3 linked regions of the Cricetulus griseus genome follow. The protein of the gene in region 3 purifies or fractionates together with the protein of the main gene of each other region. This does not show direct contact. Links are inferred from orthologs where the notes say so. Each region holds a gene or a part of one and is shown on either strand. Other genes may lie near its edges.

Region 1 (3,614 bases), on a different chromosome or scaffold from region 3:
ATGAATATATTTTTAATTTGTTTCCTTTAGCACAAGATAGGTACATAAGAAAAACAGGTGATTATACAAAATTTAATGACATCCTACAAAGAAATGGAAACAATCTAAGTTTAATTTAAACTATTAGCATTAATTTCCCCACCCAAATCTGTAGTTTCCATGTTAAATTTAGGTAATTATCAATTCTTTAATACTACCCCAGAAAAATGTTATGGTTACCCCCCCATTTAAGCAATAGTGACCCACAACCCCCAAAAATAAAAATTTAACACCATCCCAAACTCTCCATCCCCACCTGTGCCCTATTCTTTCCTTGTGTTTCCCCAGAGCATTTTCTGCTATCTCCTTTGAAGCAAACTGCACGAAGGCCTCCCCTGTGCTTCTCCCCTGGTAGTCCATCGTCAATGTTATCCCATTTGGCACGATTTCCAACCCTTTAACCCAAGGACAAATACCCCATCAAGGGGAACAGTGTTAAAGGCTGAAACATTCCCATCTGAATCAAATATTTAAAACAAGTCTAAACATAACAAAACAAAACGCTTAGTTCCCCATCACCCCATAATACAAATGGAATATTTTTCAAATATCATTGGATTAAATATTTTCTGTGATCAGTGTCTTAAAAATTATAGTTCTAAAAGCCCACTACATGAAAAACTACATTATCATTTAACTGTGCTCCCAAGGCTAACTCATAACCCACGTCATCAGTTATTCTCAATTAACTATATTGTACAGCAATCATCGTTTACATAGCCTACACATTCTCTACTAAATATTAACTGGAGCACATTTTCCATTTTATAATATAACCCAGATTATCACAGAAGACCCCAAAAATGAGTTTTATAAATTAAAAAACATCTAATAAACACATACAATTAAAATATTACTAAACTTTGACTAGTACTAGAGGTACCTTGGAAGAACTGAACTATTTCCTCTTTGCTGCAACCAAATGGCAGTCCTCGAAGCCGCACTGTCCCATCACTAGCGTCATTTGGACCATTATGTTTCATAACCCAATCCATTTCAATACGCTTGACTTAAATGCTATGAAATAAACAAGCACATAAAGCAGTCAATCACAACACATTCTTACCATGACTTGAACACCTCTCACAAGTATCCCAGCACAGAATGCATGCAAGCCGACTCCTACAACAACCAGCAACACAGTACTAACACTCTATTTTGGGGTGGGGTAGGGAAAGGCAATGAAACTCACCCCACTCCTACCAAACATCCCTGAAGGTCTAATAAAAGCTTGCTGAATTCTATCATTTGGGTTGTAGAAAACCCTGCCTCGAAACCACAGGAAAACAAGTAAAAGGCGCCTCAAAACCAAATGCTATATGGAATATGATAGTAAGTACATGCCCAAGATCTTTGTACTTGGGAGCTAAGGCAGAAGGATTGAGTTTGACGAGCTAGGACTACAAGGAAACTACTTCAACAAACATTCAGATGAGTACCTTTCAACAGTAACATTTGGGGAGGTGGGGGTGTTAAGACTTGGTGACCAAGAACCAGGCTGGTTTTGAATCACAAGACACCTGCCTGCCTCTCTCAGCCCCAGAGTGCTGGAAATAGTGTCACCACTATACATACCTCCCCCCCTTTTTTTAGTCAATCAGATTTAAACACTTTACCCAAAGACAGCATATTAACACTCACATGGTATTTAAAGAGAACAGCATGAAGCCCCCTCTATCCTCCAAGGAACACACAAGCTAGCCAGTTCCATTCCCTAGAGGCAGCCACTTTCCTTCTAAAATTCCAGAATATTTTTAGAGACTAATGCAGAAGTTCTGAAGCTGTGGAAACTTACCAGCCCTTGCTTATTTCACTACACAGATGTGGGAATCCTACTCACCTGAATATTCCAATCTTTCCCTCACCACCTCCTCCCCTGTCAACAAAACAATTTTTTAAAATGATTCCTTTAGGCTTGAAGCTATATCAACACCATTCACTAATGGTTAATTCCATATCATCAGTTAGAGGTGGATCTACAGAGAGTTAATTCTAATTTTCTTAAAATCATATGGTAGCACACTATAACAATCCTAGCCCTGGGAGGTTGAGACAAGAGGTTCAAGAGTTCAAGGCCAGACTCTGCCCTTAAAAATAAAGCCCTGGCTGTGGTAGTGCACACCCTTTAATCCCAGCACTCAGGAGGCAGAGGCAGGGGGGATCTCTGTGAATTTGAGGCCAGCCTGGTCTACATAATACGTTCCAGGACAGTCAAGCTACACAGTGAGACCCTGTCTTGAATGAATGAATGAATGAATAAATAAATAAATGTAAAGTTAGAGCTTGGAATAGTGGCAGAAATATGCATTCAACGTCAGCGTAGTCTACAGAGTTCCAGGACAGCCAAGGCTATACAGAGGAAAAATGTCTCCAAAAAAACCGGGGTTGGGGGGGGGGAGTGGAGAGAAGGGAATAAATTTCTTCTAGAATTCATGCATCAACGAACCCAAGGATATAGCTCAATGACAGAATGTCTACCATGTGCCAACCCTTGGATTACATTCTAAACATCTTTCCCAAATAATACATGCATTAAAGTAAGCCAATCTTTAATTTCTCCTCTACATGTGTATATCATCAGCATGTGTTTTGTGTGTACTCGTGACTGAACCTTAAACCCTGCTGAAAGAAAATCCAGACCCATCTTTAAAAGCCCATGGAAAGTACCACTCTTGGTAGAACCAAAATGGTGAAAACACAACTTAAAAACTGGCATTATAACTAAGTCTTCGGTGCATTTGCTTTTAAAAAAGCACGAGACCCTACATGGTAGCACATGTCTTTAATTCCAGCATCTAGGAGACAGTGATTTCAAAGTCAGCCTAGTCCACATAGTGAGACTATCTCAAAACAAAACAAAAACAAACAAAAAAAAACCCAGCATGGGGTTGAATGGCTCACTAATTCAAGCACCTTTCAATGGCTTAAAACATTTAATTTCTGAGCCTGTTATTCACTATTACATACAACAGCAGTAGTTGCTGGGTGGTAGCAACATCTTTGATCCCAGCATTGGGAGGCAGAGGCAGGAACTCTTGAGTTCCAGGACAGCCTGGTCTATATAGAGTTCCAGGATAATCAAGGATAGAGAAACCCTGTCTCAAAAACAAAACAGCAGTAGGTCAGTGAGGTATTGGCACCCACTGCTGTATTTTACAAGAATACTTATATTCTATAGTTCTGCTTTCAGATGAACATTCACCTTTGACAATTTGACTTTATGGATCCTATAAAGCAGTGGCTCTCAACCTTCCTAATGCTTCGACCCTTTAATACAGTTCTCATGTTGTGGTGATCCCCAACCATAAAATTACTTTTGTTGCTACTTCATAACTGTCATTTTGCTACTGTTATGAATCGTAAATGTGTGTTTTCCAATGGTCTTAAGTCAACGCACAGGCTGAGAACCACTGTTGTAAAACCAGTAAGATACTCAACAAAATCTCAACTGTATCTGAAAGCCATTCAGTCCTGAAAAGAAACAAGAAAATATTAAAGGTGTTTTGATGTCTAATACCATTCTAGAGTATCCCTGAAAGACAGCACCAAATCAATCTTGAAATAAATGCTCAGAA
Region 2 (3,611 bases), on a different chromosome or scaffold from region 3:
TATAATGTGCAGAGCCAGAGCGTGGCAGACTAGTCAGTAAAGCCACAGCATTACTTTGGAGGTCAGAGGATCTCTTTCCTACCTAGTGCTCTGCCTTCCTAGTGCTTGGATTAAAGGCATGTGCCACCATGTCCAGCATTAAACTTTTTTAAGGTTCATTTTTGTTGTCTATATGGATATACCATCTTACAAATGAAGTTCAGAGGCTACTTGTAGGAATTTTTACTTCTACCAGCCAAGGCTACACAGTAAGACCTTGTCTCCAAGTTATTGGGTTTTCTGTTTGGTTCTGTTTTTATTTTTCGAGGTTTTTCTCCCAGGGTGGTGTTGATATACACCTTTAATCCCAGCACCAGGGAGGCAGAGCAGGAGGATCTGAGTTGAGGCCAGCCTGGTCTATGGAGTTCCAGGACAACCAGGGCAGTTAGAGACCCTGTCTCAAAACACACACAGTTTCTCTATGTAGCCCAGCCTTTCTATCATAGTCAGAGACATGGAATATGACCCCAGGTAGGAATAAAGCACCAAAGAAAGATCACATGACACTGAAGCACAGATACGACAAGGTGTAGCTTTTAAAAGGAAGATTTATTTGACAAGGTTCACTTAGCGCAATACACCTAAAAGGAAATCACAATACAATGAAAGACTTAAATCAAGGCCTCAGAATTTCATACAAACACCAAGACCAAAAATCCTAAAGTAATGGTATTGCGTCTCAAAATTTCTCCATCAACTTAAAAAAAAAGAGAAAAGCTTTAAACTCACGTGCCTTACAGGTTTATCAAATGAAATTAGAACAAACATGCCAAATGTTTCACTTTTAATTGTAGACGCAGCTCCTATAGAGTTTTACAAAAAAGCATGTCTTTTCAACATGCATCAACAGTGTTCAATGTAATGTATGTATAAGAGCAACATTTAACATAATTCAACTGCTTTAACCTAAATACGCTTACTGCTTACACACATCCTACAGTAACTAGAGAAAAGCTGGGAATTGTTTAACAGTTATAGTTCACTGTATCATCATCCTAGGTGACTATATTCAACATTGAACCTTAGTCCTTTGAGTGATGCCAATGTTCACTTAAGAGAGTAGACATAAATCACAAGGCTGGATTGCAAAACTGTTAAACTGAAGGTTTTTTTTTTTCCATTAAAAAAAAAAATGACCAAGAGTCAGTGATCAATCAAAATCAATTACATTCCCCATCCACCACTCATACTGGACATGCTAGACATCCCTCCCATTCCATTCACGCCCATAGATGCACGGCTTCCGCTATTGTAGTAGCTGCTGTTCACTGCTCCTTGGCTACCTGCAAAGAGATCAGTTTGACAAGTTAGGAATAGTGTCAAATAACCAATCAAATAAAATAACATTCCAAGAAAAAGTTTAAAAGGTATACGAGTGCAAATGGCTGCTGTCCAATTGGCGAGAAGCATGTTGGGAAAAGGGAATCCCGACTCCAAACAAATTTCAATTAAACCCTTTTCTCTGCAGTACCAACTTGCCAGACTCTTGTGCTACCATTTTAAGTGGATTCTTCAGGATCAACGTGGAAATTTTAAGTTTAAAGGAAAACTAGTGTTTTTCAAAAATTGCAAAATTACTTCCAAGTTTTTAAAGCTAAACAAAGCATTTAAAAATTTACCATAAACATGTACTATGTGTTCATCGAATGATGTGTATGAATAGGGAACACAGGGGAAGTCTTTTGCTTTGCCTATTCATGGTGGGCAAGAAGTGAGAGGACAAAAGTTGGACTAAAGGCAACTCACTGTGCCCAAAATGGCAGCCTCCAGGGAGTTAAGTCAGAGTCACTGACTGCTATAGAAAAGTGTTATCACAACATTATCAGTCTTTGCTATTGGGAATTTAAATTATTTTTTGAGAAAATATTTACCTATGCAATGTTTGATTGAAAATCACTGGAGTTTTCCTGTAAAACTTGGTCTGCAAAAGGATTTTGTAGGGTAAGACTATAATACCAAAATCACCATTCTTTAGACCAATTGAAAAAAAAATAAATAAAACCATCCCTAGGTTAACCGACTAGTAAAATACTGTCCTGAACCCAACCACCAGCCTAATATTTAAAAATTACCCTCCAAAAAATTTAATGCTACAACAGAAAAGCAAGCTAATTATTTTAATAAACGAACAGAGATGTTTTCTGCCTTGACAATATTCCAAAATTGCAATTACTAGGATACATCCCCCTCCTCCCAATGACTTTCTGTAAATTATACTAATAAGAATTGTAATAAAAACCATATTAATACCCCTCCTCTTTTCAAAAGGAGCCCAACTAGACAAACCAACCTAAAACTTACTCTAGGTATATAAAAAAAAACTTACCATATCCACTCATGCTGCTCTGGCCACCGTAGCCACCTCCATAACCACCACTCAGTTGCTGGCTGGCTGGGCCACCGTAACTGGACTGGTTTGCTGTTAAGTTAAGAGAACATTAGAGCTTTGCTCCTTATCCAATGTGGTACCTGGTGGTACCGGGCTTGTAATTCTATGTCTACGATTTTCCAGTCTTGATCTTAAATTACTGTCTCCTGCCTACTGTCTATGACAAGACTGTCTATGACCATATTAACCTTTATATTCATCATTTTAGCTAGCTCAGTGTTTATAAACCAAAGGGTTGAGGACTAAGTACACATGATTCACTAAGTAGAGGCATTTTTTGATCATCTTATGAAACTTTAGTGGGGTTTCCCCCTTAGCTTGATATATATTTAGATATTATACAGGTATCAATGAACACCTAGTTAATTATGCCCAAGTAATTATGTTACCAAATAAAAATTTTAAACCTTATGTTTGTTAAGTATTTTAAACTTACACTTTATAGACAGATACTATAACACAATCAATAGTCCCCTCCCCCAAACAAAAGTACTTGTATCTACTTTAAGTAAGCTATCCTAAGCAGGTTTATGTTATTTACAAGATTTTAGTAATTTAATATAGTAATTACAAAATTTACTTTGCCTGAATTTGTTTGCTAACTTAATATTTTTATTGTAGCTTAAAATTATTATGGTAACAAACTCTTATGCTAATTATAATATTAACTTAGCTTATTAACTACTTATACAGATATAAATGTTTTGGTTTTTAAAAAAACTAACGATATTTACACAAGCCCATGCCTCCCATCATTTGGCTACCATAAGCACCACCGCTTGCTCCTGCTGTAGAATTCAAGAAGAGTTCTACATATCTGTGTTCTGAAATGAGAGAAAAGGCATACAAGGTTAGCTTAAAAAAAGACACTAAAGTGATATTTACACAAACCCATGCCTCCTAGCATTTGGCTACCGTAAGCACCACCGCTTGCTCCTGCTGTAGAATTCAAGAAGAGTTCTACATATCTGTGTTCTGAAATGAGAAAAAAAAAGTTTGAAAATGTTTGTTGGTAAAAGAAAACAAGCAATTTAAAAGTAACTTGTGAATCACAAATGTTTTGGTGAAAAGAAAAAGAAAACTCCCATGTTAGAACTTAAGAACTAGCTTTTAAAACACTATCAATTAAGGAAAAATTTACAAATCCCAAAATGTCAATACATCCAAGCTACCCAACTAATGA
Region 3 (4,218 bases):
AAAGGAACAGTTTCTAAAGTTTTCTGGGGGGAAAAAAAAAACTTACATCAAATTTAAACCATATGTTAAACTGCATATTAGTTGTGTTACACCAAAAATTGCCTCAGCTGAACTATGCAAGTTTTAAAGTCACTAATATTTGATCTAACTTTAATTCATATAAATTACCTTAGCTTACACTTTCTTAAAAACCTTTGAGAAAAACCATAACCAACTCTGATTTAAAGGGTATCAAAGAATTCTTATGAAATTCTTTATTAAAGTCTACAACTCAAGCACAGAACTTTGCTCAAACTTATTTTTTTAAATTGAAAAAAAAAAACCCTGAAATTTCGATATCCACTGCTTAATTCAGGATTCAATTTCAGAGTAGTGGCAGATCTGCCTTTCCTTAAACTGCCCCCCCACCCTGGAGTTAGACTAACTATTTCAATGGGGGATCCTTCAACTCTGAAAGAAGTTCCATGAGTAAAGTTGAACACCAGATATACGCACCACCTCAAAATAGTTTTCTTTTAACTTAGCAAAATTTATTCCATCTAATTTTTTGGGAGGCACTCCTTGTCTGGTGTTCAGGCTACAGTACTAAGAAGCACACATTTATCTACAGTTGCTATTGCCCCAACAGTTACTTTACATTTTTTTTGGAGCCTATCCTGGCACTCGCTCTGGAGACCAGGCTGGCCTCGAACTCACAAATATCCGCCTGCCTCTGGGATTAAAGGCGTGCGCCACCAACGCCTGGCTTAACTTTCCTTTTAGTAATTAGTGGCCTTCTGACAAATCTCTCAAAAATTTCCAATAGTAATTTCCTGAAGTAAATACTAAAGTTGTGTTATTACTGACTTATAAATAAAACAGCTTAAAAACCAAGATGCTTATAAACTGGGTAATACTATCCAGGACCTGTCTTGATTGCATAACAAACTGAAAAGACAAAATTCATAACACACAAAAAATTTCCACAACTCTTATTACAACCCAAATCTATTAAGGTTCCTTCAAAAAAAGTCTGTAAAAATTTTGTTCGATGCCCTTTCTCAGGTTCTGAAATTTGGAGAAATTGAGTAGACAAAATAGGTTAAAGATTAAAATAGGACGTGTAAAATACTTAGTATGACTGGAAATCCAAGTTTCCAGGCAATTCTAGATAAATGTCCACAGATGTGCCATCTTTAAATTCAAACTGTAAGCATAAACTTACCATTTTTAATGTCACTAACAAAAAGCAAAAGCTTATTACTTACCTCATAGGTTTTTCCAAACTTACCCGACGTCCACTATCGATTATAAACAAGGTTATTTTATAAACGTGCTTAGGGTCAAAGAATATAACCAAGTAGACCCCTTTAATTTGAAACCTTATGCTTATCAATGTAATAATCAACCATTTGCAAACATAAATCAGAAAAAAGCAAATGACAAAGTTCAAATACATTGTGTCCCAAATAAAAGTTTTTACATAGCTAGGTTCCTGCGTTAATACTGGACTGTTCCATGCTGTAATCAAAGGTGAACTACGAAAAGTTATTTTCTCTTCCCTAACGTGACCATCACGCGTAAAGATCTGTTGTTTTAGGAACAAATCCTGTGGTTCCCTTTAAAATCCTCATAATCTGAATTATTTCAAACATCAGGATCCTTCAGGAAAATAAACATACGCAGCAATAAAAAAATATCCCTCCGCCCAAGATCACCTTCTAACTACAGCTGAGCACTCTGGGCTTCCTTTTACAACTGCAGACTCACAAATCGCTTAATTAAAGGAATTAGGAGCCAGCTCGGGGAAGTAAAATGGTTTCTTTGCTGCAAGGCTGCCTTCAGCAGCAGGCTCAGGCCCGGATCGCACTCCTCGCCCGGGGCCTGCGCCGGGAACCCTTGCGGAGGCCGCCGCCACCCCCACCCGGCCGCGCACACCGTGTGGCTCGGGAGCGCAATGGCGCCATTTCGTCGAGGGGGAAGGAGGGCGGAGCGCCTAAAACGAGGTGCGCAGGACTCCGAGATCAGAGCTCAAAACACCCCAGATCCCCCTCGGAACGCCACCAAAACGGGCCGGGGACAAAGGAAACCAGCTAATGGCTCCCACGCGGGGGGGAAGGGGCCGAACGGGCAGAGCCGCAGAGTGCGGGACGCGAAAAACCGCTGCGAGCAAGGAGACGGGAAAATGGCGGCCGCCAAATCCGGTTCCCGGGGGGGAGGAGGGAGGGAGGGGGAGGGAGCCGCGCAGAGCCGCTCCAGGGGACCCGGTGGCCGCCCGAACGAACGCTCCGCCGCGCACACGCCCCGGGCCCCGGGGCCCGCGCACGGCCCGCGGGGGAACCAGGCCGGCCGGGCTCCCGCGCCCCTGCGGAGGACGAGCCGCTGGCCGCGGCCGGGCCCCATCCCCCACCCGGCTCAGGGAAATGGCGCCGGGCGGCTGAGGGCGGGGAAGGCGTTCGGACAATCGGGCCTCCGCCAACGACCCTCTCAGAGCCCCCGGGCCAACCGCCGCTCGGGCGGCCGCTCTCCCTCCCTCCGCCCGCCCGCCCGCCGCGGCGGTGGCCGGCTTCCACGGCGGCCTCGCCATGCCCTCGCCAACAACAACTCATTGATTTCAAACCCGTTACCTCCATCGCGGACTCAGTCGCTTCAGCCCGATTTCCCGCAGCCGAGCGAGATGAGAAAGACCTCCGCGGACGCACACGCACGGGACTCGTCCTGACGCTGTGGGGGGGGAAGAGCAGCCGCCGCTCGAGAAACCGCGCCGCGGGGGAAAGACCTGCACACAGGACCCGGCGCCGCTGCTACTGCCGCTGGAGCCGGGACCGCCGCTTTTCTAGAACCTTCCCCCCACTAACGCGTCTCCGCCTACGTCAGGCCGTTACGCAAACGTCCTAACCGCCGCCAATGGCGGGAAGGGCCTCGACACGCCTTTTGCGCCGGGTGCGTGCGCCCTCCCCCTCCCGGGATAGCGAGGCCGCGTTACGTCACTTGCGCAACCGCGTTTGGTGAATTGCGGAAGGCTCGCGCGCCCAACGTGTTACTACGTCCGGAGTGAGGTCCGGCCCTCCCCCCCCACACCTCCGCGCAAGGAGCCGGAGAAACGGTCGCGCAGTTTGAAATTAACGCTGCCGGGCGGGGCTTGCGTCGCCGCTCAGGCGTGAGGCCCTCGTCACCCCGGCCGCACTCCCTGCGGCGACGACGCCTTCGCCGATCCTCGCTGCGGGCCTCTCGAGGCGCGCCGGCCTTTGTTTGTTTGTGCCCGTCCCCCAGGGGGGGTGCAGTCCGAGCGCGGCTGCCGCGGCGGCACCCGAGGCCCTGGGACCCCCGCGCCCCGTGAGAGGCGGTGCTCAGAAGCTCCCCAGCCCCGCAGGCCCCGGGGCGAGGAGGTGGGCGGAGCCCGGCTTTGGCGCGCTGGGCTTTGACGCAGAGCGGCCTCGGCGGTCCCGCCCGCCTCCCCTCAGGAGACCCCCAAGGCGCCACGCCGCGGACGGTGAGTGGCGCGCACGCCGCCCCCCGCAGGACGCGTTCCCGGCGGGCCCCGCGCGGCCTGGGCGTGGGCGGTGCCTCCCCTCCCCTCCCCCCCGGCCGAGCCGCCCGCGCCCGCGCCCCGCGCCCGCGCCCCCTCCCCTCGGATGTGGCTGAGCTGAGGCGCGCAGCCGGGAGACTCTGCAGGATCCGCGCCCGGAGCATCTGAGCGGTGAAGTCGGTGCCTTGCTTTTCTGGTCGCGCGTGGCGCAGCGCGGCGCGGCGCGGCGGGGCCGGGGATGCTCCGTGCGCCCGGCTTCCCTGCGGGGAGGCTGCGGGCCCCCGCGCCCCCGCCGTGGGCCCCCGGGACCCGGGGCTGCTGCGGGGAGGAGGCTTGGCGGGGCCTGGCTGAGGCGCCGCCGCGCCGCGCCGCGCCGCGCCGCGCCGCTGCACGGGGAGGACGGCACAGTCGTGCCGAGGGTGGGAGAGCGATGACAGCTGCGGGGCCTCCAGACAAAGCGCGCGGGTCCCCTCCCCCAGCCGCGCCGCGGCCGGCGGGCGCGGATAACGTTAGAGCCGCCGCCGCCGCCGCGAGGCCCCAGGCCCGAGCTGCAGCGCGCTCCCCGCTACGTGGCGGCCGCCGGAGGGGGAGGCGTGCGCTGCTGGCGCTGCCCTTGAGCCGCCGCCGCCTCCTTTGTTTCTCCCCGCGGAGGCGCTGACCACGAGGCCCGCGCTCCCGAGTGGGGGGGGGCGGGCTCCCAGCCGCGGCCT

Evidence for each region. Proteins that work in one complex are often made in the same cells at the same time.
Region 1: the proteins of Hnrnpa2b1 (region 3) and Hnrnph3 fractionate together in Homo sapiens (co-fractionation; 3 studies listed by BioGRID and IntAct, with this or other methods). This does not show direct contact. The link is inferred for Cricetulus griseus from reciprocal best matches to the Homo sapiens genes HNRNPA2B1 and HNRNPH3.
Region 2: the proteins of Hnrnpa2b1 (region 3) and Hnrnph1 purify together in Homo sapiens (affinity purification with mass spectrometry; 5 studies listed by BioGRID and IntAct, with this or other methods). This does not show direct contact. The link is inferred for Cricetulus griseus from reciprocal best matches to the Homo sapiens genes HNRNPA2B1 and HNRNPH1.

What each region holds. Positions count from the first base shown.
Region 1 is NW_023276806.1:273,843,596-273,847,209, reverse strand, and holds part of Hnrnph3 (heterogeneous nuclear ribonucleoprotein H3), read right to left. Parts: intron 1,060-3,614; exon of another isoform or gene 1,057-1,059; 5' UTR 1,035-1,056; coding exon 923-1,034; intron 435-922; coding exon 296-434; intron 1-295.
Region 2 is NC_048600.1:64,841,018-64,844,628, reverse strand, and holds the end of Hnrnph1 (heterogeneous nuclear ribonucleoprotein H), read right to left. Parts: intron 3,404-3,611; coding exon 3,344-3,403; coding exon of another isoform or gene 3,314-3,343; intron 3,253-3,313; coding exon 3,163-3,252; intron 2,459-3,162; coding exon 2,366-2,458; intron 1,961-2,365; coding exon of another isoform or gene 1,911-1,960; intron 1,323-1,910; coding exon 1,204-1,322; 3' UTR 570-1,203; downstream 1-569. UniProt on the Homo sapiens protein: This protein is a component of the heterogeneous nuclear ribonucleoprotein (hnRNP) complexes which provide the substrate for the processing events that pre-mRNAs undergo before becoming functional, translatable mRNAs in the cytoplasm.
Region 3 is NC_048601.1:89,865,963-89,870,180, reverse strand, and holds the start of Hnrnpa2b1 (heterogeneous nuclear ribonucleoproteins A2/B1), read right to left. Parts: upstream 2,827-4,218; 5' UTR 2,613-2,826; coding exon 2,607-2,612; intron 24-2,606; coding exon 1-23. Other genes in the region: translation initiation factor IF-2-like, read right to left, coding at 3,440-4,218. UniProt on the Homo sapiens protein: Heterogeneous nuclear ribonucleoprotein (hnRNP) that associates with nascent pre-mRNAs, packaging them into hnRNP particles.